4 linked regions of the Alligator mississippiensis genome follow. The protein of the gene in region 4 purifies or fractionates together with the protein of the main gene of each other region. This does not show direct contact. Links are inferred from orthologs where the notes say so. Each region holds a gene or a part of one and is shown on either strand. Other genes may lie near its edges.

Evidence for each region.
Region 1: the proteins of CCT3 (region 4) and transducin-like enhancer protein 2 purify together in Homo sapiens (affinity purification with mass spectrometry; 3 studies listed by BioGRID and IntAct, with this or other methods). This does not show direct contact. The link is inferred for Alligator mississippiensis from reciprocal best matches to the Homo sapiens genes CCT3 and TLE2.
Region 2: the proteins of CCT3 (region 4) and WRAP53 purify together in Homo sapiens (co-immunoprecipitation; 3 studies listed by BioGRID and IntAct, with this or other methods). This does not show direct contact. The link is inferred for Alligator mississippiensis from reciprocal best matches to the Homo sapiens genes CCT3 and WRAP53.
Region 3: the proteins of CCT3 (region 4) and NEDD1 purify together in Homo sapiens (affinity purification with mass spectrometry; 3 studies listed by BioGRID and IntAct, with this or other methods). This does not show direct contact. The link is inferred for Alligator mississippiensis from reciprocal best matches to the Homo sapiens genes CCT3 and NEDD1.

The regions. Positions count from the first base shown.
Region 1 is NC_081839.1:3,787,708-3,795,409, forward strand, and holds the start of transducin-like enhancer protein 2, read right to left. Parts: upstream 3,013-7,702; 5' UTR 2,454-3,012; coding exon 2,430-2,453; intron 2,289-2,429; coding exon 2,191-2,288; intron 1,986-2,190; exon of another isoform or gene 1,924-1,985; intron 1,508-1,923; coding exon 1,444-1,507; intron 531-1,443; coding exon 486-530; intron 1-485.
Region 2 is NC_081838.1:24,752,581-24,759,881, reverse strand, and holds the start of WRAP53 (telomerase Cajal body protein 1), read right to left. Parts: upstream 3,003-7,301; 5' UTR 2,812-3,002; exon of another isoform or gene 2,723-2,811; intron 1,805-2,722; 5' UTR 1,787-1,804; coding exon 1,602-1,786; intron 1,485-1,601; coding exon 1,386-1,484; intron 1,191-1,385; coding exon 1,082-1,190; intron 863-1,081; coding exon 774-862; intron 558-773; coding exon 467-557; intron 212-466; coding exon 79-211; intron 1-78. Other genes in the region: tumor necrosis factor, read right to left, coding at 3,018-3,127, 3,229-3,376, 3,457-3,575, 3,926-3,973, 4,062-4,128, 7,065-7,192. UniProt on the Homo sapiens protein: RNA chaperone that plays a key role in telomere maintenance and RNA localization to Cajal bodies. Specifically recognizes and binds the Cajal body box (CAB box) present in both small Cajal body RNAs (scaRNAs) and telomerase RNA template component (TERC).
Region 3 is NC_081827.1:94,737,981-94,745,650, forward strand, and holds the start of NEDD1 (protein NEDD1), read right to left. Parts: upstream 3,009-7,670; 5' UTR 2,936-3,008; intron 1,509-2,935; 5' UTR 1,501-1,508; coding exon 1,362-1,500; intron 1-1,361. UniProt on the Homo sapiens protein: Required for mitosis progression. Promotes the nucleation of microtubules from the spindle.
Region 4 is NC_081838.1:17,548,329-17,555,310, forward strand, and holds the start of CCT3 (T-complex protein 1 subunit gamma), read right to left. Parts: upstream 3,009-6,982; 5' UTR 2,932-3,008; coding exon 2,901-2,931; intron 1,811-2,900; coding exon 1,749-1,810; intron 823-1,748; coding exon 772-822; intron 682-771; coding exon 619-681; intron 1-618. Other genes in the region: TSACC (TSSK6-activating co-chaperone protein), read left to right, coding at 3,939-3,965, 4,458-4,560, 4,976-5,053, 5,831-5,986, 6,506-6,717. UniProt on the Homo sapiens protein: Component of the chaperonin-containing T-complex (TRiC), a molecular chaperone complex that assists the folding of actin, tubulin and other proteins upon ATP hydrolysis.

The sequences.
Region 1 (7,702 bases), on a different chromosome or scaffold from region 4:
AACAAAGGGGCCGGGGCTGGCTGGAAAACACTGTGCCGGCTCCGAGCAGGGGGGAAGCCGAGGTCCGGTTGCCACCAGCCGCTCCGGGCACCCCGCCATGCCCTCCTGGCCCCGAGACCACTGGCGGAGGGGAGGCCGTGCCAAGGCTGGCTGGGAAAGGGGTTTAGGTCCTTAAAGGTGTGGGCGGGCATCTCAGTCCCTGTGGTGTCAGAGGGATTTAGGCACCTCAATACACCCACTAAGGCTTAAGGACATGGTCCCTGCTCAGGGACCCCATCCCTGCCCTGTCCCCCCTGTGCTCCTCAGGGTCCTGGCATTTGTACAGCGCCAAGCGCAGCAAGAGCCGCTCCCCACCGGGACTTGGTGCCACCCAGCTCAGCGTCAGTGAGCTCTGGGTTCAACGCCCCCTTTGAGGGCAACGTGGAAGGATTGTGCCCCAGGGCGGAGCGCCTGCCCCGCGTTGGGCCTGGGCCCCTGGCACTCACCTGCTTGTGCATCTCGATGTTGAGCCCGTAGGACATCTCGTAGTACTGCAAGGGAAGCCAGACGACCGTCCAGTTACAGGGGGGTCCCACGGGGCATTAGCGGGGTCCCTCTCTTGGGCACTAGCAGGACAAGCCCCCCCGCTTGGCCCTCCAGCCCCAGCAGCTGCAGGAGAGGGGCTCTGTGCAGCCCACCCTCCCCTGCCCCATGTCCTACTCACACCAGGTCCTGCCTGAGCTTAGTGGGCACCAATGCCCGCCTGCCCTCCCCCCGCAACATGCCTGCTCTACCCACTGGCGCATATTTCCCCCGGGGAACTGGCACCCGTGCGGTGAAGTGGGGGGGAGAGGGGGTGGCAGAAAGGACTCATAGCCAAGCATGGACAGGACCCCAGCCTCATTGCCTGGGCAGGGGGGCCAGGGTGTTTCCCCCCTCACCCACCAAGATGTTTGGGCATCTCCTTTGCAAAGAGCTGGGCAGTGCCCAGTTCGGCTGGGCAATGCCAGGGCTCCCAGCCCATTTATTAACCCCTTGCTGGCCATTACAGATGCTGCTCCCTGCCATCATGGTGGGGAGCACGAGGTGGGGGGGTTCTGCGCCTTTGCTTCCAGGAATCCCCTCCCACCCCGGGGGGGGGGCAGAGACCTGTATAATTAAGAGACCGGGGCAAAAAGGAAGACAGAGAGCATGGCCTGGATCCAGGCTGGCACCGAGGCAGCAGACAGCAGCTGCCCCCCCCCCCAGCCCATTGCTAGGACTAGCGCTTAACTCCTTCCTGCCTGATGCTCCCCCCCACTCGGGGAGACCCCCGGGGTGACCTGCTGGCAGCACCCACTGGCTGGGGGGGGGGTCTCCTCCCAAGCCAGGCTCTAGGGACCCACGGTGTGCAGAGGACCCAGCTGGAGGGTGAGCCCCCCACCCCGTTGGCTCCAGCGGGGTGGGGATGAGTGGGGGTCTTACCATGACGTAGTGTCGCTGCATCTCCGTCTTCTCGCTGGCCAGCTTCTCACATTCCAGCTTCAGGCTGCGGACAAACCGCTCGGTCACAAGGGCAGGCTGGTGCCACCCTGCCCTCCCCGCCAGGGTCCCAGCATCAGGGCTGGCAGCCCCCCGCCCCTGCTGCCCCGCTGCCGGCGGGTTGTGGCACGCAGGACGGCAGGGCTCCCATGGCATCGACCCACCCCCGGTGCCTGTATTCCCACCCTGGCATCTTGGCTCCCGACCTGCACCCCTTTTCCCCCAAGCATTTGCTTGCGCCAGCTCTTGGGGTCTTCCTCTGACCTGAAGCCCCCCCAGCTCGCCCCCTGCCCTCTTCCCCCACCATGCAAATGCCTCCTGCCTGGCAAACCCCAGGACCTGACCCCCCCCCCCCCCGGCACCCCCAGCTGCTCCCTGCCTCCCCGCTTGGTACTACCAAGCTCTGTGCCTTGCCCCCTTTACCCGGGACCTGGCGCATGGCCTCTTGCGGTCTCCTGACCCCCAACCAGTCTCCTCCATCCACCTCCCCATGGGCTCACATGCTCCTCCCAGCTCCCCCCTCTCCAAGCAGGGGGCTGAGCCCTGTCCTCGCTATCAGGCCCCTGCCTCACCTGCCCCCCACACCCAGCCCAGCCAGCTGCCACGGGCAAAACTCTCCTCCTGCCCCCCTCAATGACCCCCAATGCCCGCCGTCCCCCCAGCCGCCCCCAGCCCGCCCGCACCCCTCACCTGTGGTACTGTGCCTGCAGAAACTGGAATTCCTCCTTGATCCGGTCGCAGATCTCCAGGATGGAGAACTTGAAGGGCTGCCCGGACTGGAGCGGGGTCTGGGGAGGGAAGCACAGGGGGCATGAGCGCGATGCCCCGTGCATCGGGGACCTGCCCCTGCCCCGCGCCTGGATCAGAGCCCAGTGCCCCCCTACCCCTGCCCATGCACCCCCGCAGCCAGTGGCGGGGCTGGTACTTACAGGGTGCCGTCCTTGCGGGTACATCCTGAGCCGCTGGCCCCAAACGGCTACCAGCCAGGGGAAGGGGGCGGCCCCCGCTAGCCCCCCCAGGACCCCTGCACTTGAACTTCTCCAACAGCCGCCGTAGGATCAGGAGGGCAGCCAAAGCCCAGGACGAGCCAGGCGGGCACAAGGCTTCCTCTGACCAGGCTTTTTTTTTTTTTTCTTTTTATCTTAAATGCAAGGATTTTGGGGGTGCCGGAGCGGAGATCTCCGCCGGGCGAGAGGGGAGCAGGACTCCCTCCCCGGCGGGTCGTGAGCGGCCCATCGGACACGGGGCTGGGGGGAAATCTAATCGGCCTTAAAGCATGGGGTGGGGGGGGGACAAAAAAACCCAGCAGGAACAGAAGGTCAGGCGAAAATCTGGCCGGATTTCAGCAGCGGTCCCTGGCTGGAATAAAAACTACCTCCTGGCAAGGCAGAGAAAGCAGGGGAGCCTGGCGAAGCGCGCCTTAAGGTGGCTCTGGCCCTCCAGGAGAGGCCTTGGCCACGGCGCTGGGAGAGCTGGGGCGCCCCCCAGGCACCCCCCAGGCACCAGCTCCCGCAGGCAGCGGTGCCTTCGGCCAGACCCACAATTTGCCGCCCCCCAGCTCCAGCCGCTTTGGTGTCGCCTGCCTGCTCTGATGCCTCCCCCGGCCTCCTAGCCACTCCAGTGCCCCCTCCCCAGCTACTTCAGGGTCCCCTGGCCACGCTGGTGCCCCCTCCCCAGCCACTTCAGTGCCCCGTGAGTGCACTGGTGCCCCCAAGTTGCTCTGAAGCCCCCCGGGCACCGTAGGGGGGACGGGGGGAAGCCAGGAGAGCAGAGCAGCCTCCAGCCCCCGGCTTCCTTCTCCCGGACCCTGGCTGGAAACCAGCCCTCCCTCCACCCCTGGCATCATCTGGGCATTGTCCACGCAGGATGATGCCCGGATCAGGGTCTGGCATCTCGGGCATCCGAGGGGGCCGAACACAGGGCACACAGCGCCCCGAGAGAAAGCCTGGACTGGGCTAGAGAGGCTGCGACTGGGGCAGCGAGCAGCAAATGCCCCGAGCAAGCTGCTGTCCTGCCCCGGGCACCGCAGCGCCTCCTGCTGGACCAAGGCTGGCGGGGCGACTCGCGCTGCCCCACGCCTCGCCTTCACGCCAGCCCCCAGGCCCAGGCCAGCGGTGCCAGGGGACCAGCGCTGTGCTGGACGCCAAGGCAGGATGCTCGGGCCGGCAGGTGACCCAGGAGGACGCCCGCGCCCTGGGCTGCCCAGGTCCACCTTAAAGAGCTTTGCAGCCTCGGCTACTGTGGACGCGGCGCCATTGGCTGCCGTGGGCTGGGAGCGCCAACCAATGCGCCTTCCCAGTTCCCACATGGGTCCATGATGTCAAAGCTTTCGGAGGCTAATCAGGAGGAGAAGCAGGGGGGAGCCGGGGTGGGGCAGTGGCAGTGGCAGGCTGGGACTTGTGGTTTCCCAGCCCCATCTCAGCTGGGGCAGCATCTGGGGCAAGGGTGCCAGGCCTGGGCAGCTCTGGGGGTGCATCCCACCAGATACCCCCATGCCCCCGCCTGGCGAGAGCGTCCTCGGCCTCGGGCATGGCTGTGCCTGGTGCCACCGCCCCATGCCGCCTCCGGCCTTTTGGCACGAGAGCGGTCGGAGACCAGGCCCCTCCCTGCCAGGTGCGGGGCACAGGTGCTATGAAGCAGTGAGGCCGCTTGGAGCATGTCAGTTCTGTGCCTCGGTTTCCCCCCTTTCCAGGGTAGCCTGCAGCTCAGGCTCCTTTTGCAAAGAGCCCCATGCCTAGGACTGCTCCAGGGAGCTGGGCGCGAAGGCGGCTGGTCCCTAGGGCTCTGCCCCCCGTCGCTGCGCGTAGCAGGGCACCGCTGGCACCGGACGAGTGCACGAAGCACCCCATCTCGCCCCCCAGCACAGCTGGCCCGGACTACAGCCCCCAGCAGCCTCCGCGCTGCAGCTCCCCACCGCTGTCAATCAAAGTAACGTGGGGCCCAGCTCCCTCCACCGCCCGCCCGAAGTGGCTGGCTGGTATAATTACAGCACATTGATCTAACGGAGGCAAGGCTTTCCTGCTGGCCATGACTCAGGCTGTGCAGAGAGCAGCACATCCCTTTAACACCAAGCACAGCGGCACCATCCATCACAATAGGACCCCCCCCCCCCCCCCCCCCAGCTCCCTGCCCACAGGGCTGCAGGCAAGACAGTAAAGCGCTCTTCCCTCTGCATGTCCCGCCGGTCCTGGGACACGGGGACCCTGGGATTCCCCATCCGAGCGCGGTCTCACTTTGTTCCCCAGCCTTAAAAACCAACCCAAGCAGCCTCTGGCCCTTCCAGATCCCCGAGCTGCTGGAAGCATTCGTGCAGCACCTAGCACGGTGGGCCGGCCAGGCCCCGAGCCTTGAGGCGCTACCCGTAATTCATAACGAAGCAGTCATCCAGGCAGGCGCTTGCCCACGCTGCCGTGTTCCACCCCAGAAGTGGCTGCAGATGCATCCCCCGGGGACTGCCTTATCACCCAGCGGGGTTCGGATAGAAGGGACGTCGCTGGTTGGGGACCGCGCAATACCAGGCCGGGCCTGCCCATTCTCAGGCCAGTTTCTTGGGGGCAATGCCCATATTAGCCCCCTTCTCCATGGCCTCTGCTTGACTGAGCAAAACTGGGTTCTCATGCCCCTGGGGCAGGACTCAATGATCCTCCGGGGTCCCTTCCAGCCCTATTGTCTATGAGTCTATGAAAATGCCAGTGGATGGAAGCAGGCACTGGGGGGTCATGGCCTTCCTGATCTCTCTGGAGAGATTTGCACCCATCTCCAGACAGACACTAGGCATTAGCATGTCTGCTTCATGGATGGGGAAACTGAGGCATGGAGCGGTCAGGTCCTGGGGTCACCAGGAGCATCCCCCACGTCTCCCCGATTCCTGGCCTGGGTAGACACAGGGGCCCTAGATGGGAAGGGCTGGGAACCCCTGAGCCGCAGGGACTGGATCTACTCACTCCTCGGGTGGGAGGGGATCCACTGGAAAGAGCGATCACGGGCCCAGGAGCCAGGACTCCCGGGTCCTATCCTGGCTCTGCTGCCTGCATCTTGCGGAGGGCCGGCGTGCCTCAGTTCCCCCACCTATGAAAGGGAGCAGGAGGGACCCGTCGCAGGACTAAGCAGCGCCACGGGGCGACGTGCTGCACCATTTCTTTGGGGAAGGAGAGAAGAAATTACAGCGCACCCAAGGCCAAGCAGCTCCGGGGGCTGATTTCATCAGTGATGCAAAATTATCTGCAAGCCTATCAGCTGCGGGGAAGGCAGGGGCTCCTCCGGCCCAGATCTCAGGGCACATCCTGCCCTCCGGCTGGTGCCCGACCACCCCTTATCACCCAATTCAAACGGGCATCGGCCCCGCATTTGGGAGCAGAGGAGGTGGCCAGGCCAGGAGTCATCTCAGGCTCCCCATAGACCCCCGCTCCTGTCCCCCCCATCAGCTCTTGGAATAACTGCTGCTCCCCGGGGCAGGGAAACACTCAAATCAATTAAGCTGCAGCCCACCCGGGAGCCGGGAAGGATTACAGGCCCTGTTTCAGATGGGGTGGGGAAGAGAGATTTGCCCCCCACCCCGCAGCCTGTCGGTGGCAGAGCTAGGACGGGAACCCAGGCATCCGGGCTCCTCCTTAGTCCTCCTTGCTCTAACCGCTACACCCTGCTCCCTCCTTCAATCCACAGAGCCCTTCCCCACTCACCCCCAACCATCCCTGCTCGTCCCAGAGCTGGAAACAGGACCCAGGAGTCCTGGCTCGCAGCTGCCCTGCTCTCCCTCCTGTACCCTACTCTCCCCCCACCGCTGTAACAATTAGCCCCCAACACCTCCTCTCCCACACGGACGGACGGACAGCCCCACTCAGCCCTAGCGGAGAGGCTTCCAAGGGTTAATCCTCCCATCCACCCCTCCATGGACCCCCATCAGCCTTCTGCTCTTTAGGGTTAAACTGGGTGTTGGGGGGGGTGTTGGAAATAACCCTGCTCCTTACATCCTGCAGAAGCCAGCTGTGTCTGGCCCTCCGGCGCGGGCAGCCGCAGGGTTAAATATTTAATGTGTCACATTTCATCCTAATCTTTTATTAATTATGTTATTTACTTGCTGCATGATGTCGCCTGTCAGCAGCACGGTATGGGGTCGGGGGGCTAACATGTAGGATCTGCCTTCCCTCCCCCTCCCCACCTGGCTAGGCCAGAAGGTGCTAGTGTAGACAGGGATGGACGTGGGGATCTGCCACGCTGCGTGCCCCACGGCCCAATGGAGATGGGGGGTCTCTGCTACGGACTGCCTGCGGGGCCTTGGTCAAGTCACTTAGGCTCATCAGGCTGGCAGGTCCCTTGGGAGGGGATGTGGGGGCACATCTAATGCAGCCCTCTGCTCCAGGCAGGCTCATCCCTGAACCAGCCCCATTTTCTCCCCCTGGGCTAAAAACATCCAGTGATGGAGATCCCACTCTCCCCAGAGGAATACGCCTCCTTTCCTTCTCCCACCTGCTGCCAGTGCTCTCCAGGCAGAGATCGTCTCCAGCCATGCAGCGCCTTGCACCTCTGGTGATATAGCCCCCCACCCTGGCACTATACGATATAGCCCCCAGCCCTGGCAGCTCCTAGCGGAGGGGCGGGCGAGCTCTTTCACACCCCCTGACCCTATTGCCAAGTTCTCTGCAGCCAGCCCCTCTCCTGCCAGCAGCTTGGCAGAGGGTGAATGGGCTGGGGGGTGAGGGGGAAGCACAGCCTGGCATTAACCCCCTCCCCGCTCCCCCCCCAGCCCAGTCTGCCTGCTGGGGACATCAGACCAGTCCAGAGCAACAGCCACCCTGCAAAGCAGCTGTGCACAGCTGGGGCACGGGGTCAGGCTGGACCTGCCGTGAGACTTGGATGACTTGGACAGTGGCCCAGGCACAGGCCAGCCCGGGGTCTCTGCCCCCTCCAAGCAGGTGGATGCGCCCGGGGAGAACTGGCTGGAATAACCCCCAGCCTGATTCTAGGTTTCATTTTGGGGGGGGGCAGGGGAAGGCCGGCTTGTCACAAACCATCTCCACTGGAGGTGGGGTGGAAACTGCTCTGTGCCTCAGTTTCCCCACTGCTTAACACTCTTCCTTCCCCCTCTCCACTAAAGGGAAGGGCCATTGAGGGCATCCTTATGGTGTTGCCTCGGAGCCCACCAAAGCATCTCCTTCCACTGGCACCCCTGCACCCAACACCCCCCCTCTCCCGGTGGCCAAAT
Region 2 (7,301 bases), about 7.2 Mb from region 4:
GCTCTCTCAGTGGGCATGAAACCCAGGCGTCCCAGGGACCCCCCCTCACCCTGGTGGCGGGGGAGGGGGATGTCTCACCGAAGGTGGGCCGCACCTCGCAGGTCCGGCCTGGGCGCTCAGTGTCGAAGACCCTCACAGTCTTGTCAGAGCCACAGAAGAGCTGGGCCCCATCCGGGGTGAAGCAGAGCGAATGGGCGGCTGTCAGCTCGTCCTGGGGGGAGGGGGTGCATCAGGACACCTGGGGTCTCCCCCCAGCACTGCCAGGGGATGGAGGAGTGGAAGAAGGGGTGGGGCAGGGCCTGGATGCCTGGATTCTCACCCCAGGGCCACGCCAGGGGGTGGAGGTGGGGGTAGAGGCAGCCTGGACACCTCTGTTCCCTGCAGCTCTGGGGGAAAGTGAGATCTGGTGGGGGGGCTAAGGTGTAGGGAGCTGGGAGCCTAGACACGCAGGTACGCAAACACTCACCAGGTGGTTGTAGCAGCGGTATGTGGCCCGCAGCTCCCCACTGAAAGCATCCCACACGTGGATCGGGTTGTCCCGGCAGCTGCTGGCCACGCTGGGGGGTGGAGCAGACATGAGGGGAGGAGGCGGAGCCAGTTGCTGTCCCACCCCTGGGGGAAGAGCCTAAACCCCCAAGATGCAGCCAGCTCCAGGCAGAGCAGCCAAATGTAACCAGGCTCAAGGATTGGGGGGGGGGGGACGAGAAGGGGACAGCCAGGCCGAGTGCCCTGGCTAGGCAGGATCTGGCCCTGGGCAGGGCAGGACAACTCACAGGCAGGTGGACGGCTCAGCCGAGCTCATCAGCGGGAACCAGCAGTAGTCATAGATGGTGTCGCCCTCGGCCATGCACAGCACTGGGCTCTGGGGAGGAAGGGGGCGGCTCGGACACCTGGGTTCCCTCTGGCTCTGAGAGGGGGGTGGGGGCTGGGAGCCCAGACACCTGGGTTCCCTGTGGCCTGCAAAGAACAGGCTCCCAGATGCCTGGGTTCCCCGTGCCCCTCCAGGGAGGGCAATGAAGGGGCTGGAGGAGGGAGGGGATGGGAGCCCGGGCGCCTGGGTTCCCCCCCTCCCAGGCCCCACCATCTCAGCAGCAGGCCCCCCTGTGGGGCTGTACAGCTCGGGCGGCAGGTCATAGATGCGCAAGGTGTTGTCGGCGCTGTTGCTCAGCAGGCAGGAGCCGTCCGGAGCCCTGCAAGGGATGCACGTGCCAAAATCAGTTTCTCCTTTGTCTCCCAGCTGCCTCCCTGGGATGATGGGGGGGGATTTTGGGGTGCTGCCCCCTGCAGGTCAGGGCCTCCCTCTGACCCCAGCGCTGGACCCACCCCGCCCCGCCCCAAACCCCCTTCCCTTTCCCTCTGTGTATGTGTGTGGGGGGGTGTCTCACCACTTGCAGCCCTTGAGGAAGTTCTCAGGGACGTGGCCATACTCGGCCCAGGCGCCTGTCAGCAGCACAGGGGGGCGCCCAAAGTCATAGGCTGGCAGGCTGGGGGGGAGGCGGGGTATCAGGTGGAGCCAGGAGTCCAGACCCCTCCCCACTTTGACCCCCCCCCTCCCCCGGCCTGGGCAGAACCAGGTGTCCGGGCCCACCCCTCATACTCACTAATACTCCTCTTCTCCCGGCCCCGCCTCGGGCAGCCCCACCCCTGGCTCCGGCCCCTCCCCTGCATCCCCCAGGCAGGGGGTGTCAGGGGGTTCTGGGGGGACAGGAGCAGGCTCCCCCACAGCTCCAGAGTCTGGAGGTGCTTCTTCCATGGCAGTGGGGGTGTCAGATCCGGGGTGGGGCATGCCTGCCAGGAGAGGGGTCTGGAGAAGAGAGGCAGAGGTTTATGGAGGGCAGTGGGACCCAGGCATCCGGGTTCCCCCTCACCCCATTCACACCTGCTGGGGGGTAGATTGTCCCATTGCCCCGTGCGGGGGGCCAGGCTGGAGGATTCGGCTGTCCCAGTGCCCGGGGGGAGGGGCAGGTGGGGGGGCGGACTGTGCCATTACTCCAGGTTGGGGGAGTTAATGCGGGGGGGGGGACTTGAACTGATCTTGGTGGGGGGGTCAGGCTGGGGGGATGGACTGCCCATTGCTCTGGGGGATCAGGTCGGGGGGTGGGCTGCCCCTTTGCCCTGGGGCGGTCAGGGAGGGGGGTGCTGGAGTGTCCCATCACCTGCCCGGGCCTCCCGCAGAGACACGCGCTGCTCAGCAGCTGGAAGCCGCCATGACACCAACTCTCGCGAGAACTCGTGAACTCCAGCTCAAACCTCCCGCTCCCGCGTGAACTCGACGACCCATCTCGCGAGAGCCCTGCACCGGCCCTGACCTGTCGCGAGCGCTTCTTTGGCAAGATCTCGCGAGAATTTCGACCGGGGAGGTGCCGCGGCCGCTAAATCCCGCGGTCTTTCGGTGAGGGCCTCGCGCAACTTCGGTTCCAAGTCGTACCGCGCGAAATTTCGCGCTACCCTGGCCATCCTGCCTGAAAATGCCGCGAGATGTGGGCCCAATCTCACGAGATCTCGGCGGCTTGGCTGTATTTAAACCTTTCGTACGTCCCGTCAATAAGCCTCAGGCCCGGCCCAGCCAGTGCCCCTCACTCGCAACCCAAGGGCTTGAGGGACCCCGGGCTCTCGCCTTCCCCCCCCCCCCACCCCCTTTGTTACCCCCCCACCCGAGGTGGACCCCAGGCGCCCGGGCCCACCCCCGTTGCTACGGCGACAAGGAGCCTCAGGCCTCACGGAGATTTCGGGAGTGATGCCCTTGTTGCTACGGGGAGGAATCGGTGCTCGTTGGCGTGCCCGGGTGGTCGCAACGCCTCCTGCGCCCACCTGCCCCGGGCGCCTGGGTCCTTTTTCCCCACGTGTCCATGCGGCGTCCCGGACGCCTGGGGCCTTCCCCGTCTCGGCGCCACCGCCCGGATGCCTGGGTCCCTTCCCGCTGGTGGCGGCCGGCTCTGGACGCCTGGGTCCCACCGTCTCTCTCGGCGACGCCCGGGCTCCCTTTTGCGGGGCGCTGCCCGGGCGCCCGGGTCCCTCTAGAGCCGCACCAGGCCCAGGAAGGTGCCGTGGGGGGTGAGGTCCAGGGAGGCGTTGGCCCGGGGCACGGCCAGGCGCAGCCCCTCCCCCCGCTGCAGGTGGAAAGCACCTACGGGGCGAGAAGGGGCGGAGCCTCAGGGTGGGTCCCGGACCCCTCCCGAGCAGACGAAGGTGCCCCCGCCCCAACCCCCTCCTGGAGGCCCCGCCCACCTCCGCTGTAGCAGCTGTTGTAGGCCTGCTCCCGCTGCCCGGGCATGCTCTGGACGCAGCGCAGCAGGATCTGTCCCGGGCCCCGGCCCCCGGGGGGCAAACGCCAGAGCACCTGCCCCATGGTGAACGTGGGGTCGTGGAACAGCACCTGGGCAGAAGGGAGATGGTGAAGGGGGGCGTGCACGAGGGCGCGTGCACGAGGGCGCGTGCATGGGAGCAGGGCCCTACCTGGCTGTAGACGAGGTAGAGGCCCGCCTGGCGCACAGTGACGATGGAGCCGCTCAGCTCCAGGCCTTGGCCCTGCCGCAGCGCCGGCGCCCACCACAGCTCCGTCACGTCACCCTCAGCTGCGGGGACTGCGCTCAGCCCCAGCGTCCGGGGACCCCAACGCTCCCATCCCCTCCCAGAGAAGACCCAAGGGTGCAGGCCTATGTCCCTGCCCCCTCAGGGACCCAGGCATCCAGCCCCCACCTATCCCTATTGCCCCCCCCAGATGACCCAGGTGTCCGGGCCCCTATACCCCCATCCCCTCCTGGAGAATCGGGTATCTGGGCCCCCAATCACAACAGAAAACCCAGGTGTCTGCCTCCCCCGCCATGCCTCCATTGAAGCCCCCATCTGCTCCCAGAGAACCCAGGTGTCCGGGCTCCCAGGCCCCCCTGCTCCCACCCCATGCTGAGGAGCACCCAACACTCACCGTTGGTGGAGCAGTGGCTGGGGACCAGGTGCAGGGCCGTGCGTTGGCCTGGGAGGGGGGACAGACACCCCCTGAGGTCATAAACCCCCCCAACTCCCCCCCCATAGGATTGGGCCTGGGTCAGAGCCGAACTCACGGTGCTGGTGCCGTGGGCCGGGGGAGGGTGACGGCCTTTCGAGCTGCCTCCTGCTGCGGGGTGATACCTGGTGCGGATGGGAAGGGGTTAATGCCCCTTTGCACACCCCCACCACACCCGGGCCCCCAGAGCCCCACTCCAGCCCTGCACTGACCCCCCCCCCCAGCCCCCACTAGCTGGCCCCAGCAATGTGCATGTCTGTGTCCAGATCACCTGGGCTGTGCACGTGTGCGTGTGTCCTGGACACCTGGGGGGGCATCTGTCCCAGACACCAGGGTAGTGCATGCATATGGGTGTGTCCTGGGGGTGCTCATCTGTGTGCGTGCGCATGCTCTGGATGCCTGGGTCTTCTGCGGGGTCCTGTGTTCCCGGGGGGGGGGGGGGGGGGTGCTGTCCGGATGCCTCAGTTCCCTCCAGCTCGGGAGGGCTTTGGGCAGAGCCAGGACACCTGGGTTCCCTGACTGGCCTCCAGCCTCCCGCCCCCGGCGGGTGCTTTCCCCAGTCACTGCTTCCTGCTCCCTGGTTCCTCCTGGCCCTGGGCCAGGCCCTGGGGGAGGGTTAATGATTAACCCCCTGAAGATCTCCCCCCAGGGCCAGGCCACATGCATCTAAACCCCCTTGACCCCCCCCCAGACCAGCTCCCGGCAAGCACAAGGGACCAGGATGGGGCCAGGTAAGAGACCCCTGGAACCCCCCTGAGCTGGAGAAGGCCTGGGCGCCACCATCTCCCACAGCCCTGGTGTTGGCAGAGGACCCGAGCGTCTGAGCTGCCAGCACCCTCCCGGAGCAGGGAGAGGACCCAGGCATCCGGGCCCCCAGCCCCCCTCCTAGATCAGGGGGAGAACCCAGGCGTCAGGGCTCCCTGCAGCCCCCCCACATGACTGAGAGAGGACCCAGGAGTCCCGGCTCTCAGGGCTCCCTACTTTGACGCCCCTGACCCCACTTCCCCCCTCCCAGAGCAGAGAGCCAGGTGCCGGGGGTGGGGGGAGGTTCCTGGGCTCCCTGCAGCGAGAACCCAGATGTCAGAGGCTGGTGTGGGGGTCTCACCTGGGGGCGTCCGTAGGTCTTGGCCTCCAGCCGCTCCTGGAGCTGCTCCAGCTGTGCCCGCAGGGTGCCCACCTGCCTCTGCTGCATCCCCAGGGCTGCCAGGCAGGCCAGGACCCCCAGCACTGCCCCCCCTGCCAGCCATGGCGCCAGGGGGGGCCGCACCAACCCCCGTCCAGGGACCCCACTCATGAGGAGACCCCCTGCAAAAGGACCCAGGAGTCCAGGCCAGCCAGGTGTCCCTGCACCCTCCCCTTTTTAGAGCCCAGAGAGGACCCGGGCATCCAGGGCTCCCCGCCAGAGGACCCAGGCGTCCAGGGCTCTGTGGCCAGCGGGTGCAGGCCGTGGCCACCAAGTTGCAGGCGCCAGAGGCTCTTGCGCAAGGGGGCGGGGGGGGGGCAGGAAGCCGGGCCGGTGGCCAAGAGTATGCAGCGCCCAGCATGGGGGCGGGTGGCTGCCCCCACTACAAACTGGGAGAGAACCCAGGTGTCTGGGGTGCCAGTGGGGTGGGAGAAGCTGGGGGGGAGATGCAGCTGGCTCTGGGGTGGGTTGTGGATGGGTGTAACGGGAACCTCTTGTCCAGCATTGAGATGCAGCCAACTCTAGGGTGGGTCCTGGCTTCATAGAACAGGGACACGTAGGTTGGCACTGAGATTCATGCAGCTCTGGGGGTGGGTCATGGCTGGGTGTAACAGGGACCCCTTGTCCAGCACTGAGACGCAGCCACTTCTGGGGCGCATCATGACTGGATGTAACAGAGAACCCTAGGAGGGAACTGCAGCCAGCTCTGGGGTGCATCCTGGCTGCATAGAACAGACCCCTAAATTGACAGAGATGCAGCCAGCTCTGGGGTGGGTTATGGCTGAGTGTAACAGGAACCCCCAGGTTAGCACCAAGATGCAGCCAGCTCTGGGGTGGGCCTGGGCATAATGAGATCAGGCCCCGTTAGGTTCCTGGGAGGCTGAGGCCCGTACGCCCAACCCCAGCAGGGAGAGAACACAGGTGTCCAGGGCTTCCCAGCTCCTCCCCCTCCCTGCTCCCTTCCCCAAGCAGGAGGGGAGCCAGGAGTCCGGGCACCCAGTCTGCGGCCAAGCCTGTCACTGGTTCCACTGGTTTTATTTCTATTACAATAAATTTCTGTGTATAAAATTGTCAGGCCCCTCTCCCACCCTGGCCCCACCACATCAGGCTGGGGGAAGGGGCCAATGCGAGGCCCCACCCCCTCCCACCCGTGTGGGAGGTGCTCATTGGCTCCCAGCAGGGCCCTGCCCCGCCTTGCTCGGCTCAGCAAATGCAGCTGCTGCCACCCTAGCTTCCTATTGGCCGAGACAACCTGACCCTGACCGAGGGGAATTGAGATGCCCAACTTGGGGGAGCCCAGGCACCCTGGGACACCCTGACCTGGGGGAACCCGGGCATCCGGGTCCTGAGGTGCCCTGACCTAAGGGAACCCAGATGTCCAGGCTCGGAGATGCTTGCCCTGGGGAACCCAGGGACACCGTGCCCTGGGGGGACCCAGGCGTCCCAGCCCCATGGGACCCAGGCTTCTGGGCTTGGGAGGGGCCCAGCCTGGGCAAACCCAGGTGCCCAGGCTCAAGCTAGCGGAGCTGAAAGAGGCCCAGGTGGGTGAGGGAGGCGTCGGGCTTAAGACGCACACGGGGCACGGTGCCCAGGCGCAGGGTGGCACCGGAGGGCAGGCGCAGCAGCCCAGCCACACGACACCCGCGCAGCTGTGGCTCAGGGGGGCCTGCGCTGGGGGGGGGCAGCTGGTGCAGGCAGCGCAGTGCCGGCGCCACCCCCAACGCCAGCTCCAGCTTCACGTACACCCAGGCCGCCTCGTCGAAGTGCGCCTGCGGGGGGAGCGGGCATCAGAGGGACCCAAATGTCCGGGCCCCCGGCAGGGAGGGACCCCGGGAATCCAGGCCCCCGTGCCGGAGGGAACCCCAGTATCCGGCGCACCTGGGCATAGACATAGTAGAGGCCACCATGGGTGACTGTGAAGACGCCGCGTGCCTCGTCGTAGCGCAGGGGGCTACTCGCGTTCAGCCACGTCTCAGCCCAGCCCCGGATGGTCCCATCTGGCCCCGCTATGGGGGAGGGGGGGCAGCATGGGGTGAGGGGGAGCACAGGAACTGTGGGGCTGCCCAAGCTGGGAGAGAACCCAGGTGTCTGGGCTCCCCTGGCTGCCCACCCCAT
Region 3 (7,670 bases), on a different chromosome or scaffold from region 4:
AGTCAATTCCCTGATTTCTTAGTCAGCTTTCCTTTTTGTTTGTGTTGATCTTTTACATAAAAGCAGGAGAACATTTATTAAGAAAGCTTGTTTGTAAAAACACAAATTGGCAAGGGACTCACAAGCAGCAGAGGATTTGAATGAACTTTCATGGGTTTTTTTGCAGGACAGGAGGCGAGGAAAATGCAGAAAAATGAAGCAGCGCTATTTAGACTTCAAGTCAACTACGGCACTTTAAAGCTCTGAATTAGTATTTGTATCATATTAAATCAGTCCTTTCTTCAACATCTGCACTGCTAAATGCTGTATTTAACCTTGATGATTATAACCATTGCCTCATCTCTATCCCTGCCATACTTCATCTCAGAGGTCAGACACATTTAGAACTTTGGGGAAGTAATTATAACTTGCCAGCCCACTATTTTTTGACATCCATATCATATATCAATCTCTTCCCAACACAGTGATGCCATGAAACTAGCTGATCTGTTGGAGCTATTAGTATTTTAGAGAAAATTCTCATACAGACCTTCCTAAATATACCTAATCTACCTATGTATACCCTTCCAACATAATCAAGGCTACATATAGTCCCACCTATCACAAAAGGAGTCTGAAACAAATGTGAAAGGGACTACCCAAAATAGACCTGAAACCCTGCGTGTACAATGAAGGAGTGATCTGTGGTAACATTCTCTGAGGAAGAAACTTGCATCTCAGGAACCTAACAAATACTTGAGACTTGTCTGCAAATTGCAGATCTTTCACTTAAGAAGGCTTTAAAATTAAATTTCCTACTGGACAGAAAGTTTTCGGTTTCCATTAAATACAGTGACAGCCAAAGATCATTTCTAATACCCACAGCCTGGCTTGAAAGATTAACATTTGGAAGCCAAAGCAAGTGTTCTATAATCAACTTCATATTACTTACAGATTTTTTCTGCTACCAGTAGGTTCTGTCAGCTTATTTATCACTGAAAACTACTGCACTTATTTTCAAGGCAAACAATTAAAAAACCCTTAAATTTCTACACTTGCGAGGTGACTCAAACATAGTATCAGTATTAAAAATAGATTTTCCCCAGGATCGTTAAGAAATTATTCAGAGGAATCCACCAGTATAGTTTGTTTTTTTCTGTAGCAGCTAAGCCGTTTGGCCTTATATTTAATTTGGTAGTTTATTCCCAACCCTTAATATTTCTGCCTAAGCATGCAAAAAAATATTTGCTTAAAAAGATAAAAGCAGTTCTTCCAATCAACACTAAATGAAAACTGACACCTACAAAGTGCTTCAAACCAAAAAGTTCAATAAAATTTTGCAGAACTCCCCAGACACCGTATCAAACCGATAGAGCAAAGGATATTATTACTGCCCCAACAAAGTGAGCTGACTGTAGGTGAGGAAGAATGGGGGTTGAACTGCTCCACCACTGTGATAGATGAAGAATCCCATATTTTAACATCGTCTCCTGCTGAAGCGAAGCGGATGCTTTCCTGCATGGCTGCACCTACAGGCATAAACAGAAGCGTAAAGAAAATAAGATCAGCAACAGTTCCTTGTGCTGGTTAAGATTTCTATCTGCAATCGCTAGCATAATTTTCATGATAAAATGACAAGACAGTGAGCTGAAGACATTAACTCTTATGCTCTAGATGCATCTTATTTAGTCTGTAAGGTGCATCTCTACCCTGCAAACTAACAAGTGAACTAACACAGCTAACTACCATTATGCAACCAATCTAAACAAATGGAATTTGTTGCCCCAAAGGTTAAAATACATTTCAGATGCAGTTACTTTCTATGGTACCATACCTAAACTTTTTGTATATTGCATGTACGTTGTATATGCTGAGCCTGTCAACATACTGTATCCCCCAAGTAAAACAATCGCTGTTTTAGGAAGTCAGAACCAAGAAGGAAAAAATTTTTTCCTCTTAAGCAAAGTGTTCAGAATCAGTGTCCTCATTTGAGAGACACATCCCAACCTTTGAGTATTAACTTTCAAGGGTGGAGGGAAGCGAGTGTGACATGTGAATAAATAAGTTATTAGCAAACAAAAGGTCACGAGTCTATGAAGCTACCTGGTTACCATCTGAAAACTCTTCCTCGGGCAGGTTGGGTCATTACTACAGACAGCTTCCCCATCCTTCCTTGCTTTGACCAAATGAGCAGCGGGGAGAAATACTGCTCCTTTGGTGGCTTCACACCAAGCCATGACGACTCGAGCCCCACAACAGCACATGGCACCAACCAGGCTAGAGCCCAAACCAACCCTCCAGGACAGGACACTTGGACCCTGGGGGGGGTCCTTTTTCCTCCACCTTCAGTCACATGATGTGGAGGGAGTGGGGGGAAGAAGTCCCCCCGTTTTGGTGGGGAGGTCCGGGGCACCGAACCCAGTCAGCGAGCTCTTGTCAGACGGCCCACAGGTGTGAAAGGTTGGTGACCGGGGAGTGGCGGTGATGTTATCCGCCACTTGCCTACTGCCCCGTTTCTGGGCTGGGGGGGCTGGAAGACGTGGCCCCGCGTGCTCGGCTGTGCGGCGCACGGCTAGCAGGTGGCATCGCACTGGCACGGACCAGGGCCAGGCACTGAGGTGGAGGAGACCCGGCGGGCGTCACGCGCGGGTGCCACCCAGGGGCCGCCAGCCCCGCCCTGGCAGCTGCTGCGGGATCGCCCCCCAGTCGGGCCGGGCGGGACGTACCACTTCCTTCCCCCGCCCGCTAGCACAGTTGGAAACAACCCTCCCCCCCTCCCGGGGCGCGCTTTGGAACCGCCCGAGGCGGCCGGCGGGCAGTACGGACCAGAGAGGGGACCAGGTCCGGGACACCCACCCGCACCCGAGACCCGCCAGGCCCGGCCTCCGCTACAGCGCCCGCCTCATGCCGGCAGCCCAGAGGCGCCGTGGACTTTCCGCGCCTCTTGCAACTTAACAGTCAGTCCCAACAGCCACCGCAGCGCCCTTTTCCCGTCCGGCGGCTCCGGCTACGGCGGCCCGGAGGGGCCACAAGGCGCGCGATTGCGTTCGGTTTCCTCGGGCGGTGGGGGTGGGGCTTCGTGCGCACTGGGGGCGTAGACTTGCCCTGTACAATGTCAGACGAGACTCGGGCCGCGGCCCCACGTAGCGCTGAGGCCAGGCTGGGATTAGGGGGCAAAATCCTTTTGGGATCGCCCCGCCGTCGTCCCACCCAGGGATAAGGGCCCGACTGCCGCCTCGTGCTGTTCTGCCAGCGCTGGGCCGGGCGCGAGGGGAGGCTTTCCCGCAGTGACAGTCAGGCCTGAGGAAGGTCTTGCATTGGCAGCGTGTCCGCCTTGATCCCAGCCACGCGGTCGGTCCAATTAAAGCCGGAGCCGGCCCTAAAAAATCCTTGCGTCTCGCCTCATGTCGGGACCCTTGCGGCTACACCACCACTGCGGGAATAAATTAGTCACCGGCGCATGAAGGCGGGGTAAAGTGGCACTGCAGAGGAGTAGTTCTCCACTTTTCTAGAGGCCAGGCGCTCTCCTCAGACTCCGGGGCCCCCAGAAAGTGGGAGCTCTGAGCTTTCCCTTATTTAAAAAAAAATTGACTATGGGAAAAATACTAGAGCCAAACTCGTGTGGCAAAGAACAGCTTGGGTGCTGCAGGTTCCCCTTTGACCCCGTGGTGAGGCACCCTTGAAAGGGGCTCAAAGCACTAAGAGTCGCCACAGGCTGGGGCTTGTTGCCCCTTGCGCTGCAAGCCGCACACGTGTCTGAGCACTAGCTAGCATTTGGCGCAGTCGGACTACAGGCCAGCAGGACCCCCTCCAATTCCCAGCTTCCCTCCTGCCCTCCTCCCGCTGGTAGCTGCCAGCACTGTCTGTCGCAGGGGAGCAGACAGGGAAACATTAACCGGCCTGCCCAGATGCCACTGCTGGCTGCTGATCTTCTGGCTGAGCCCACTCACAGAGCAGCAACAGTGGCTGGTTAACCTTTCCCTGCCTGCTCCCCAGGACAGACGGGGGAGGCAGCCACAAGTAAGCAGGGATCTGGGAAGGGCAGGGTGGGACAGGAGGAGCAATGGGCCTGATCTGGGCCCAGTTGGAAAGGGGGACAGGTGGGGTGTTTACACTAAGGTGTACCCTAGAGGGGTTGCACCTTAATGTAACACACAAGCTGGGCAGCACTCGCATGGATCAGAAAGAAACCACACACCTGGAGTGGTGTACCTTTGAGCCACTTAACAAGTGCTGAAAACCAGTTTCAGGCATTAATGTTTGGACAGTCCAGGTGTTGAGCGCTCCAAAAGTCACCCAAAATTACCATGCAACAACGCCCTTGGAGTCTGACTCAGAGAAGCATAAGCTTCCACAAGCATCAGCCTACTTCCTCAGATGCTGTCTCCTATGAAATCTTGCACCTCTCCAAACCAGCTAGACTAAGGCCTGCCTATCTTCAGCAAAAAATAAAATCTCAAACTTAAGTCTTGGTCTTAACTTTGCCATTTAGAACCATTTTTAATCATCCTATTTTCAGGATTATGAATAGGAACTGCAGGCAGCATATTATTTCCAATAACCAATCATGTAACAGACTTTCTTTGTATACCCTGACACTGGTGATCAATGTTTCATTGCCATTGGCTTTTACAAGATAAAAATTTTATTTGGTAAACTGACAGCTGCCAATTCCTCACATGAAATGCTTCATGAAATGCTTCAGTTTTAATATTGCCTTTGCTTTCTAGCTATAAGCGGTATATTCTGTAGGAAGAATGTCAGGAAGACTGCCACTGCAAGGCCATTAAATATAAAAAAGGAGCAAAACTAAATGTTGAACATTCATTTAGACCTTAGCTTCCTTGCCTATGGCTTTGCTTTCAAATAAGTCTTTCCCTTATAAATGATCCTCAACATTGTTAAGTATAAAATATGCCTGTTGACTCTTGCTGATGAAATGCTGATTTATCTGGTTCATTTCTTTTTTCCTAGTCTGTGTAAGAGAGCCAAGGTAAAAAAACAAACAAAACATAGCCCCCCCCAATCATATTACCAGTATAAAAAATGCCATTATTTTTCCTGACAGTTTTTAGCAAATGTGTCTTTATTCCTTACATCCATCATCATCACTGATCATTGTTCATGTTTTATATCCTGTCCTGGTAGATCTTCTCAAGGGAATCCTGTAGCATTAATCAAAGATATTTTACTTTGTTTAGGATAAAGGCCTGATTATTCTGTTTCATTGATGTAAACAAAGAGTAACTCTAAGTCAGTGGAGTTACACAGATGCAAACAACCTGGATACCTAACTCAGATGTTTAGCATTTTGGTCAGGATAAGGTTGGCGAATACTTACACTCTCAGAAGTGCCCCATCCTCAGACTTGAACCAGTCCATAGCATCACTTGAATAGATGGTATGGAAAAGGTTCCCTAGGGAGCTTGTGCTTGCAAGAGGTTGTTAACATAAGAATTGCCATTTACTGGGTCAGATGATGGGTCCATCTTGCCCAGTGTCCTGTCACACAGGAGCAAAGTGGATGCTGAAAAGGAGAGTGAACTGGGTATGACCAGTGTTTTTTCCTTTTGTTACTCTTACCATCTGTGGCTGCCAAGGGGCATTGAATCCATTACTACTAGTGCCAGATTTTGTTTTGCACCATCTTCCACAAAAATTTCAAATTACTACATTGTGTTCCTTTTGTGGAGCCTCTAAGACAATGGTCTCCAACCTTTTTAAGTAGCAGATCACCTTTGGCATTTAAAAGCAACCCAAGATCTACTGTGTGCTACCATCACCCCTCCCCCGCAGGTAAATCTGTGGGAAGGGAAGGTAGGGAGCAGGTCAAGGCAGAGGGAGGAGAAATTATTTGAGGGCGTGCCTCCCCAGCAGGTAAGTTCCAGCAGGCCAGAACCCCACTCAACTTACCCCTGCTCCTGCCTCTGCAGCACTGTCCTTCACCGCAGGGGGCCTCGATCTAGGTCCCGCCCCTTCCCTTCCCCACAGACTGACCTGCTGGGCTGGGGCGCACCCGTGCATGCACGCAGGCACTCAACCCCCCACCCAGGCCTCAGATTGACTCCGAGAGGCTCTAAGATCTACCGCAAGAGGTTCCGAGATCGAGATCTGCTGGTTGGTGACCACTGCTCTAAGAAATCAATGGAAGCTGACCGCTTATTTCTACTGATGATATATTAACCCCACAACATGCTGTTTTATTACATGCCAGCACTGTCCCAACTTTGAGGGTTTTTTGAGTGCTATGTCGCTGCCTTAAAAGGAGCCGGTGGACACAGTTATTTAGCATAAAATAAAAGGCAATGAAGTCAACCTTTTCTTTCATTAAGGCAGTACATTCAAACTATAGGTAGCAATATATCATGGCTTATATAGTATATATTCCATACCTGCCTGGTAGCCATTCCCCATCAGGGTAGCCATGAGTGCTAATGTATAATGCTGTTGGCAGTGGTGACATGTAGGGGGTGCAGGTGCACCCCCAAGAGCATTTGTGCAACCCCTGACAGCCAGCATTCCCCGCTTAGGTGATGGGCAGGGGGGGCAGGCAAGAGTGCTGGTGTCCCCCTTGAGAGTGCTGGCCGGGGAGTGGGAGCACCAGGAGAGGCGATCCCCACGGTCCATCTGTGACTGATCGCACTGACCCAGATGTACTGTGCTGTGCCACACTGCTGGCGGTTCTGGGTTGGTGTGACACTTCCGGGTCCATGCAATCGGCCGTGCTCTCCCTCTTCCCTCAATTGCTGACTGGTTGCTGGTGGGGCAAGTTCCCCCCCGCCCCAACTTAGGAGGCACCTGTTGCCCATGGCTGTCAGCTCCATTTTGATGCCTGCAATATCCTGCAGTATGCTTTATCATATTAAATTATTCACCAATAGAACATTCTGCCCACTTGATTTTTGTCTACTATTAACGTAACAGTAAAGACCCTTGAGGAAGAGCAGTAGTAACCATAACAATCCACACTAATAGTGTCCTGTGTAATCTGAGTCAATAGAAACAAATTTGAAACAAGTGTGAATCTGCCATTCATCTTTGAAGGCACTACAAATCAAGACTTCTAATATTTTACACTTATCTCGATTATAGGAATTAATGGAAGCAGATCTTTTGCTGATATAAATGACTTCATTATAGATGCCAAGCTGAACCTAATTTTAAAAAGAGCATGATAATTGGTATTTTTTTTTAACAGTTCATTGTTTCAGGTAGGAAATTTAGGACAAAACTAATAGTTTTAAAGTGATTTAAATACTTTACTTAAAGATAAATACTTTACAATTTTGCAATTTTTGAAAGCTCAATTATTAAATTTTATGTTGGCACTCACAGTTATTCATATTTTTAAATAATAAACATTTTTTAAATATTTACATCGCTCTTTCAATATTATATCCATGGCCAGTTCAGCTTCTATATGAAGTGATGTTTATCTAAAAATCTTCTTATCTAAAAATCACTTTCAACAGGCACCTTTTTCCCCTCTCTGGAGCTGGTAATTCTCTCTTCTCCCTCTGTCAGAGAAATGTCACTTCTGCTTAGAGCTCAGATATGAGTGAACTTTTTAAAGTTCAGAATTCTTTCTCTACTTACTTCCTTCTCAATAACTTAATCCTCCCACTATGTTTAATGACTGGGAATATGTAAGGCTTACAAAATGTTTAAAACCCCTTTTATTTGTAAACTGA
Region 4 (6,982 bases):
TTTCTTCCACTGACAATGAGACTGGGTCTCATTGACAAAAATCCACTGACAAAAATCACTGGGCACTGATAATAAACAAATAAACTCAAATCATTATAACTGTACCTCTGTACAGTTATAATGATTTGAGTTTATTTGTTTATTATCAGTGCCCAGTGATTTCTACAGAAATATTTCTCATTCATTACAAGCTCTGTATTTACCTGCTTTCTGTTTTATGGTGGTTACAGACAATGAAATGAGATCTGCATTTCAAATATTAACATATGCATCAGATTTTCTTAAGTGAAGACAATCAAATAAGTATCAGTGACAAGGGTAACTTACAACCCCGTGACAAGTATGTACACATATAGAATTTGTGTCATACCAACTGCATATGATCAAATTAATTTGGGAACCAGTCTTGTTTCAAAAGGCTATAAGCAATCTTGAAAACTAGTCTTTTCAAGAAAATTAGTAGCCATAGGAAATCTTAACTAGTTTGTCTTCCGCACTTTGTCTGGGATGGGAGACCTCTTTTTTCAGGACTCTGGAAAATTCCAGAACATCAGCATTGCCAGGGTAACGTGATAACTATTTGGTATTAAGGAAAAGTGATCAAAACTGAAGACTCACTTCGCGAAGAATAGCATTGCCATCGTTGGTCATCACAATTCCACCCATTGGGTCCAGAAGCATCTACATCAGAGAGGAAAAGTAGTGGTAAGACTGCCTGTTAAGGCACACAACGCTGCTGAGCCATCTAGCACAAACAGAAAAAGCTTTTACCTTCATCATAGCTCTTGGTCCCAAACATGTTCGGATGATGTCAGCAATGGTCTAAAATGAAAGGAAAGTGAGATGATGCAGGATTTATTCATAAATTGGCACATGTTCTGCTTCTCTTTTCTTTTCTTAAAGGAAGTATCATGATAAAGGGAAGAGAGGAAAAAAAAAATCAAGTGATAATGCTCCTAGGGAGAATTTCATACATTTTACAAAAGCACAATAGTAGAAGCTTAGGGCCGACCCCAGCAGTCTTTCCTGCCTAGAGCAGGGGGGCTGGACCTGATGATCGCACAAGGCCCCTTCCAGCCCTAAACTTCTATGGATCTGTGAATAGCAGTTAACATGCAGTAGTGAAGAGGGATAAATAAACAGCACTGAAGAAAATCAACTCATTCAGACCAGCATGTCAAGGATTGTTCCACACTCTAAAATGAGATGATCCCTGGTCTGACTCTATGCTTTCACTCCTTTAATCCCTTGCTTCCAGCGATCAGGATTTCATTAATAATGTCTTTAGTGTTCCAAAAGCCAAAACAGATTTAGATAATCCTTGCCATCCATGAAAAAACGCAAGCCTTCTAATTGCTGAAAGTGATCCACTGATTTGACAGTTGCTTCAGTGCAGCAAAAAGCAGGATTTTGTCAGCTGTAAAAATACAATTTAGCTATTAAGATACCACCTGCAAATTTCTAGACCTCATCATCTTCTCAGTCAGAATTTAGCAAAATATTGGCCAAATGAGATATTAAGACAGAAACATTTATAGTATTTGGTTAAAGCTTCCTTCTTTCACCAAAAGAGCACTTCATCCCACTGCAAACATCTAGCCTAGCAAAGAAATGTTCATCAGTGTTTCCTCTGAAGACCTGTCAGGAAATATCAGCAAGGAACTGAGTCAAAGCACCAGCTAAAGACCTTCCCAATTTGTTGCATTTGCCCTTTTATAACTTGTATAACTGAAAAAGTAAGATGGTACCTTAGCAGCATTGATATTTCCAGTCTGGACCTTCCTTCCAGACTCGCGTTTCATATTTTGACCTAAATGGAGCAGGAAAAGTATCAACAGCAAGAACATAACTGAAATCTAATCCTGCCAGTGCGCTTCTGAGCAATATGAAGCTGAAGACCGACATTGAACTGAATAATAACAATGTGTCAAGGATGCAATTGTGCTTAGACATGCTTGATTGTTAAGCAAAGGGGTGAATGTAGGGGAGGGAGTACCAGAGATTCAACCCCCGGCACGTTTCCCTTAAAACGTTAACAAAAACAGCACCTTTAAAGGTTTCTAAGCCCTATTCGGCTATATAAGTATGGGATGATGTAGGTGGGAACTGTCTTGCTTTCAGAAGGGGGTTGGGATTAGCTGTGACCTCCTGAGGTCCCTTCCAACCCTAACTTTCTATAAGTAAAGATGCGCTCCCGAGTAGAAAGCACATTCCCAGATAGGGCAATACAGGAGGTGTCTGGATTACAGCCTTGTCATGAAAAGGGGTCAAAAACATCGAACCTTCAATCTCCCCAAGGACCTGCTATAAGTGGCTGCACAGTAGGTTTGCGGTACTCTGGAAAGGGGCTGTTTTAAGGATGCTTCACTGTCATGACGAATGAAACCGCTTCAGAAACGTCCAGTGTAAATGAAGGACCCACCCGTGAACAAATCCCCACACTCGTCACCCCCATATCAGGCGACCTGCTACCGTTGCGGTCCACCCCGAAGCATTCCCCACCCATATAAAATTTGACACTGCTTCTCCTTTATTAAGAGCCCAGTTTGGGGGGGCTGAAGGGGGGACGGAGGTGGCGGTGGGGGAGAAGAGAGCAAGGGGTATGTGAGAAAACAGGAGCTTGCATTGGGAAGAAGAGAAAATCCCAATTTAGGAAGCCCCAGTGGAAAGTCTCTGAAGGGGGGGGGGCAGGAGCGAGTCGCACAAAGACGAGGGTTCGGTGACAATCAATGGTGAGGGGCATGGGGCACCGGGGGGGGGGGATACTGGGGACACCCCACGGGTGGGGCGGGATTTGGGGGGAACCCATGTCGGGGCGTGGGGGGGGATGGGGGACCGCGCACGTGCGCACTAGCGCAGACGGGAGAGGGGACCCTTGCACCCCCCGCCCCCCCACTTACTGAGCACGAGCACGGGGCGCGAGCCCATCATGGTGGCGGCGGGTCGGGAACCTTCTGGAGACAGGGAACCACTCCGACAGGCGCCGCTTCACCGTGCCGAGGCAACCTACCCCGGCTGCCGCCGCACCCGCCAATCGCTGCCCGCGCCCGAAGCCCGGCAGCCAATAGGAAGGCAAGGCTCCGCCCCTTCCCTCCCAGCCCAGCTTGGTTGAGGCGAAACTCCTCAGCGCGTGGGGCCTCGGCGCCAACGTTGGGCGGGGACCGGCGGCACTGCGCATGCGTCGCAGAAGCCGGCTGAGAGCACATGCGTAGTATGCAGGTCGCAGGTGAGAACCGCGCATGTCCGCGCGTGCGCACAATGAGAAGAATGCGGTGGGCATGCGCGCAAGCGCCGAGTAGCGGTTGAATGGCGGGGCGGGGGAGGCCTTGCCGCCCGCGTTCGGAGCCGTCAAGCTGCGGCCGGGCTCGTTCCGCAGGCGAGTGGCGAGGGAGAACCTGCTAGACTCCTGCAGGAGCCGGAGCCCCTTGGTGTGGGGCACGATGGGAGTCGTAGTCCCCTGCAGAGCCCCCGGCTCACGGTGCATCCTGGGAGATGTAGTCCACCCCCCGTCTCGTCAGGGCTGGGCTGCGCCCCGGGGGGCCATGGGAGTTGTAGTCCAGCCCCAAGGCCTGATGGGGGCTGTAGTTTGTTGCTAGCCAGAGGCCTGCGCCGGCTGCTTCCTTCTCCTCCTCCCCAGGCCTGGGGCTGGAAGTGCCCCGTGCCACTTTGCGCGCAGGAGGCAAGGAAAGGTGCACCTTAGGGGCTAACTAGATCCCAGAGCAGGAGGGGTCACACAGTGAAACCTGCAGGGTGGCACTAAAGAGGATGGAGCTGTTTATTCTGGTTCGAATCCCAGTGTCAGATAAACTAGGATCTGTTCATAGTGGGGGCAGGTGGTAGAACAAGGAGCAACGGGCTCCAGTTGCAGCAAGGGAGGTTTAGGTTGGATTTTAGGAAGAACTTTCTCACGAGGAGGGCAGAATCATAGAAGACAAGGGATGGAAGTGACATCTCCATTCTTGAAGGTGTTTAAGGCCTGAATCGGGATGATCTAGTTGGGGCTGGTCCTGCATTGAGCAGGGGGTTGGACTAGATGGTGGTTCTCAACCTTTTTTGTACCAGGACCCATTTGTAAACATCAATGGCTAGTCACGACCCAGTGCCCTTTGCTTCCAACCCACTTCCCCCAGGCCCCAGCCACCTACTGCGTGGGGCAGGAGATAGCTGTGTGAGGTAGAGGAGGGGTGTGTGAGGCAGGGGTGGCCCCCAAGCAGCCCTTCACAGGCTGGAACTCTGCCTGCTTGCAAGGGAAAAGCCATGGTTTCCCACATTTTTAGGAGAATCCATTTTTAAAGTTTGTTCACGACCCGTTCATATATTCCTGCAACCCACTTTTGGGTCACGACCTACAGGTTAAAAACATTGAACTAGATGTGACCTCCTGAGTTCCCTTCCCACCCTCATTTTCTGTGATTCTATGAAGTTTAAAGATAACCAGGAAGTTCTTTCTCACTCAGCGTGGGAGACAAGTGTGGAACAACCAGATGTGGGGGAAGCTGAAAGTGTGGCCAGACTCACAAAGGGATCGGACAAATTCTTGGAGGAAAGGGGCATCAGTAGGTATGGAGCTGGGGAGTGAGGGGCACAGTCTCCGAATCAGAACTTCCTAGGCCGTAAATGCTGGAGGCTGCAGGTGGGAGGAGAAAAATCTTGGTTATTCCTAGTTCACTCACCCTTTCAGCATTCGCTCTTTGTCATCATGTGTCATAGGACACTGGGCAAAACAGATCTATGGCACCAAATGGCAATTCTTATGTGTAAAGCTTTTCTGTCTAAGAGCAGCCACCCTGAGGTCTAAATGCCTCATTTCACATGCTTCTCTTGCTATAATTTTCCCTATCACTGTGACCCCGTACATGAATGTTGCAATGACCTGACTGCAGTGCAAACAGAAGGTGCATTCTTGCCTGTATCCAGCCTCTTTCCTTTTAAACTATCTCAGCAGATAACCATGTTTTTTCCTTCTCCTTTGTAGTTGCAAGCTTTGTTCCTACCCAGATAGAGGCAGACTCAAGCACTCAAGAAGAAAGACAGCATGGGATAAGTAGGTTGGGTGTGTTTATACTTTATTTACAAACCACAACTTAACTGTCAGGCTGGAAGCTTTGCATGAGCATTGGCATTAATTCTTGCTGTGCCAAAATATACATTCATACAGCACTTTGCACCATGGAGTTCCAGTCCATGACTGAGACTGTCAGAGCAGCATAAAGTATCAGGCCTTCAACTCTGGAAGGTCTTTTCAGAAGAGGAGTTACCCTACCAATGGAAAAGCCCTTCCTACATTTACCTTTTTACCTCACTGGTATAGTGCAGTCATTCATTTATTTTTCAGACAGGCTGAAAAGCTCCTCTCAGATGTTGTATTCCTATCTCCCCAGTCCTGCAGCTCCTTGTAGTTATTTGTTGTGTAACACTAGTGTGCGCAGGCAGCTCTGAGAATGCAGTGCTGTGGGATTTCTCCTGCAGATCCTGCCTTTTCCTTTAGACAGAGGATGCAGGAAAAGGGTAGCTAAGCATCTGCTACATTAGCCACTAGTCAATCTCCCTGCTGGCAGGCTCAGCTGAACTTCTAAAGGACAGTGTGTGACATGGAGGCCCCTGTCCCATTTTGTAGCTGCAGATGTAATTTCTGAAGGAAGATCTGTGGCAGGGAGCTTTTAAGTAGATACAAAGTCCAGCCTCCAAGCATGGGGAGATGCTTAGATTGGCCTTTGTGGGGCATCTGGGGCTGAAAGGTGCTACAGGAGAGTCAGGGCTTGATGTTATAACTGTCATGGTGGAAAACACCCTGATGACCCCTTCTACCCACTTTTTCTCTGTTTCTCAGAAGACTCAGAGAACGTTGAACATCCTTCTGCGTCTTTTAAGCTGTTCCATCCTGCCAAGCCCTCCCCCAGCTTTCTTGAGCTTCCATTCACCCAGCGCAGGCCCAGCCGGGGTCACCGCTGCATCCAGGCTGTAAGGCTGGGACACAAACAATTCTGTAAGTGTCGGACCCATCCTGAATGCCGCTCATCACAGACCAAGCCCTTGGAATCCGGGGGCACATGGCAGTAGCCTTATGGGGTAGGGACTCTTCTTGTACTAGCACTGAGATAACATAGAGTTTGGGTGATAATTAATTAACTAAAAATTAACTGCACATGCATTTGGGGTTCTGGTCCAAAAGTCCCCCCTTCTTTCTCCTCCTGTGAGTTCATTCTGCTTGGCACCAACCAACATGAGGAGAGGAGGCCCTTGGGGTCTGTCAGCATCAGTGGGTCTGGTATATCCATATCACTTGTGTCAGCATCAGGAAGAGAAAAGATCCTCCTCTGTAGCTGATACCTGTAAGGGCAAAGCTGGTTGTGGGTTACAGAGCTCTGTCTACACCATAGTCATGGTACCCATATGGCTGTGGCCAATGGGAAGCCTCAGCAGCTGGAATCAGTAGGACAGTTAATTAGCTCTTTGTGCAGGAAGAGGAGAGGAATAACTAACCCTCCAACCCCTTCTCCCGCAGCCCCCGACCATCAGCCACAAGAGTGCATGGGCCTGCTGGAATGCATGCACAACCATCTCCAGATTCAGACCAAGATGGTGCAGGCCCAGTTCAGTCTGTTAGAGGGGCTGCAGGAATCCTTAAGCCTGCTCCAGGCCACCTCAGAGCGTAGGGGTAGGCAGCAGGACAACTCAGAGACTGGCCATCAGGGCTTGACTTCCGCCTCCAAATGATGTGCCCAGGATGTGGTTGAGCTTGGAGTCCCATTTCTTCTTAGGTTGCCTCATCTCTGCTGCAGCTTCAGTGCCGGTGATCACCTCTAGAGCTCTTGAGACTGGGGTTCCCGTTGTGATGCCAAGCACCACGGTTATGGCTGGAGCCAGTGCTTCTAATAAAGTTGTTGTAAACACGTCCTGTGTGAGCTTTTCTCCTGCATGGCTTTCCACCCTTTTCTGTTCCCCTGTCTCTGGCTGCAACCATAGATAGATAGATAGATAG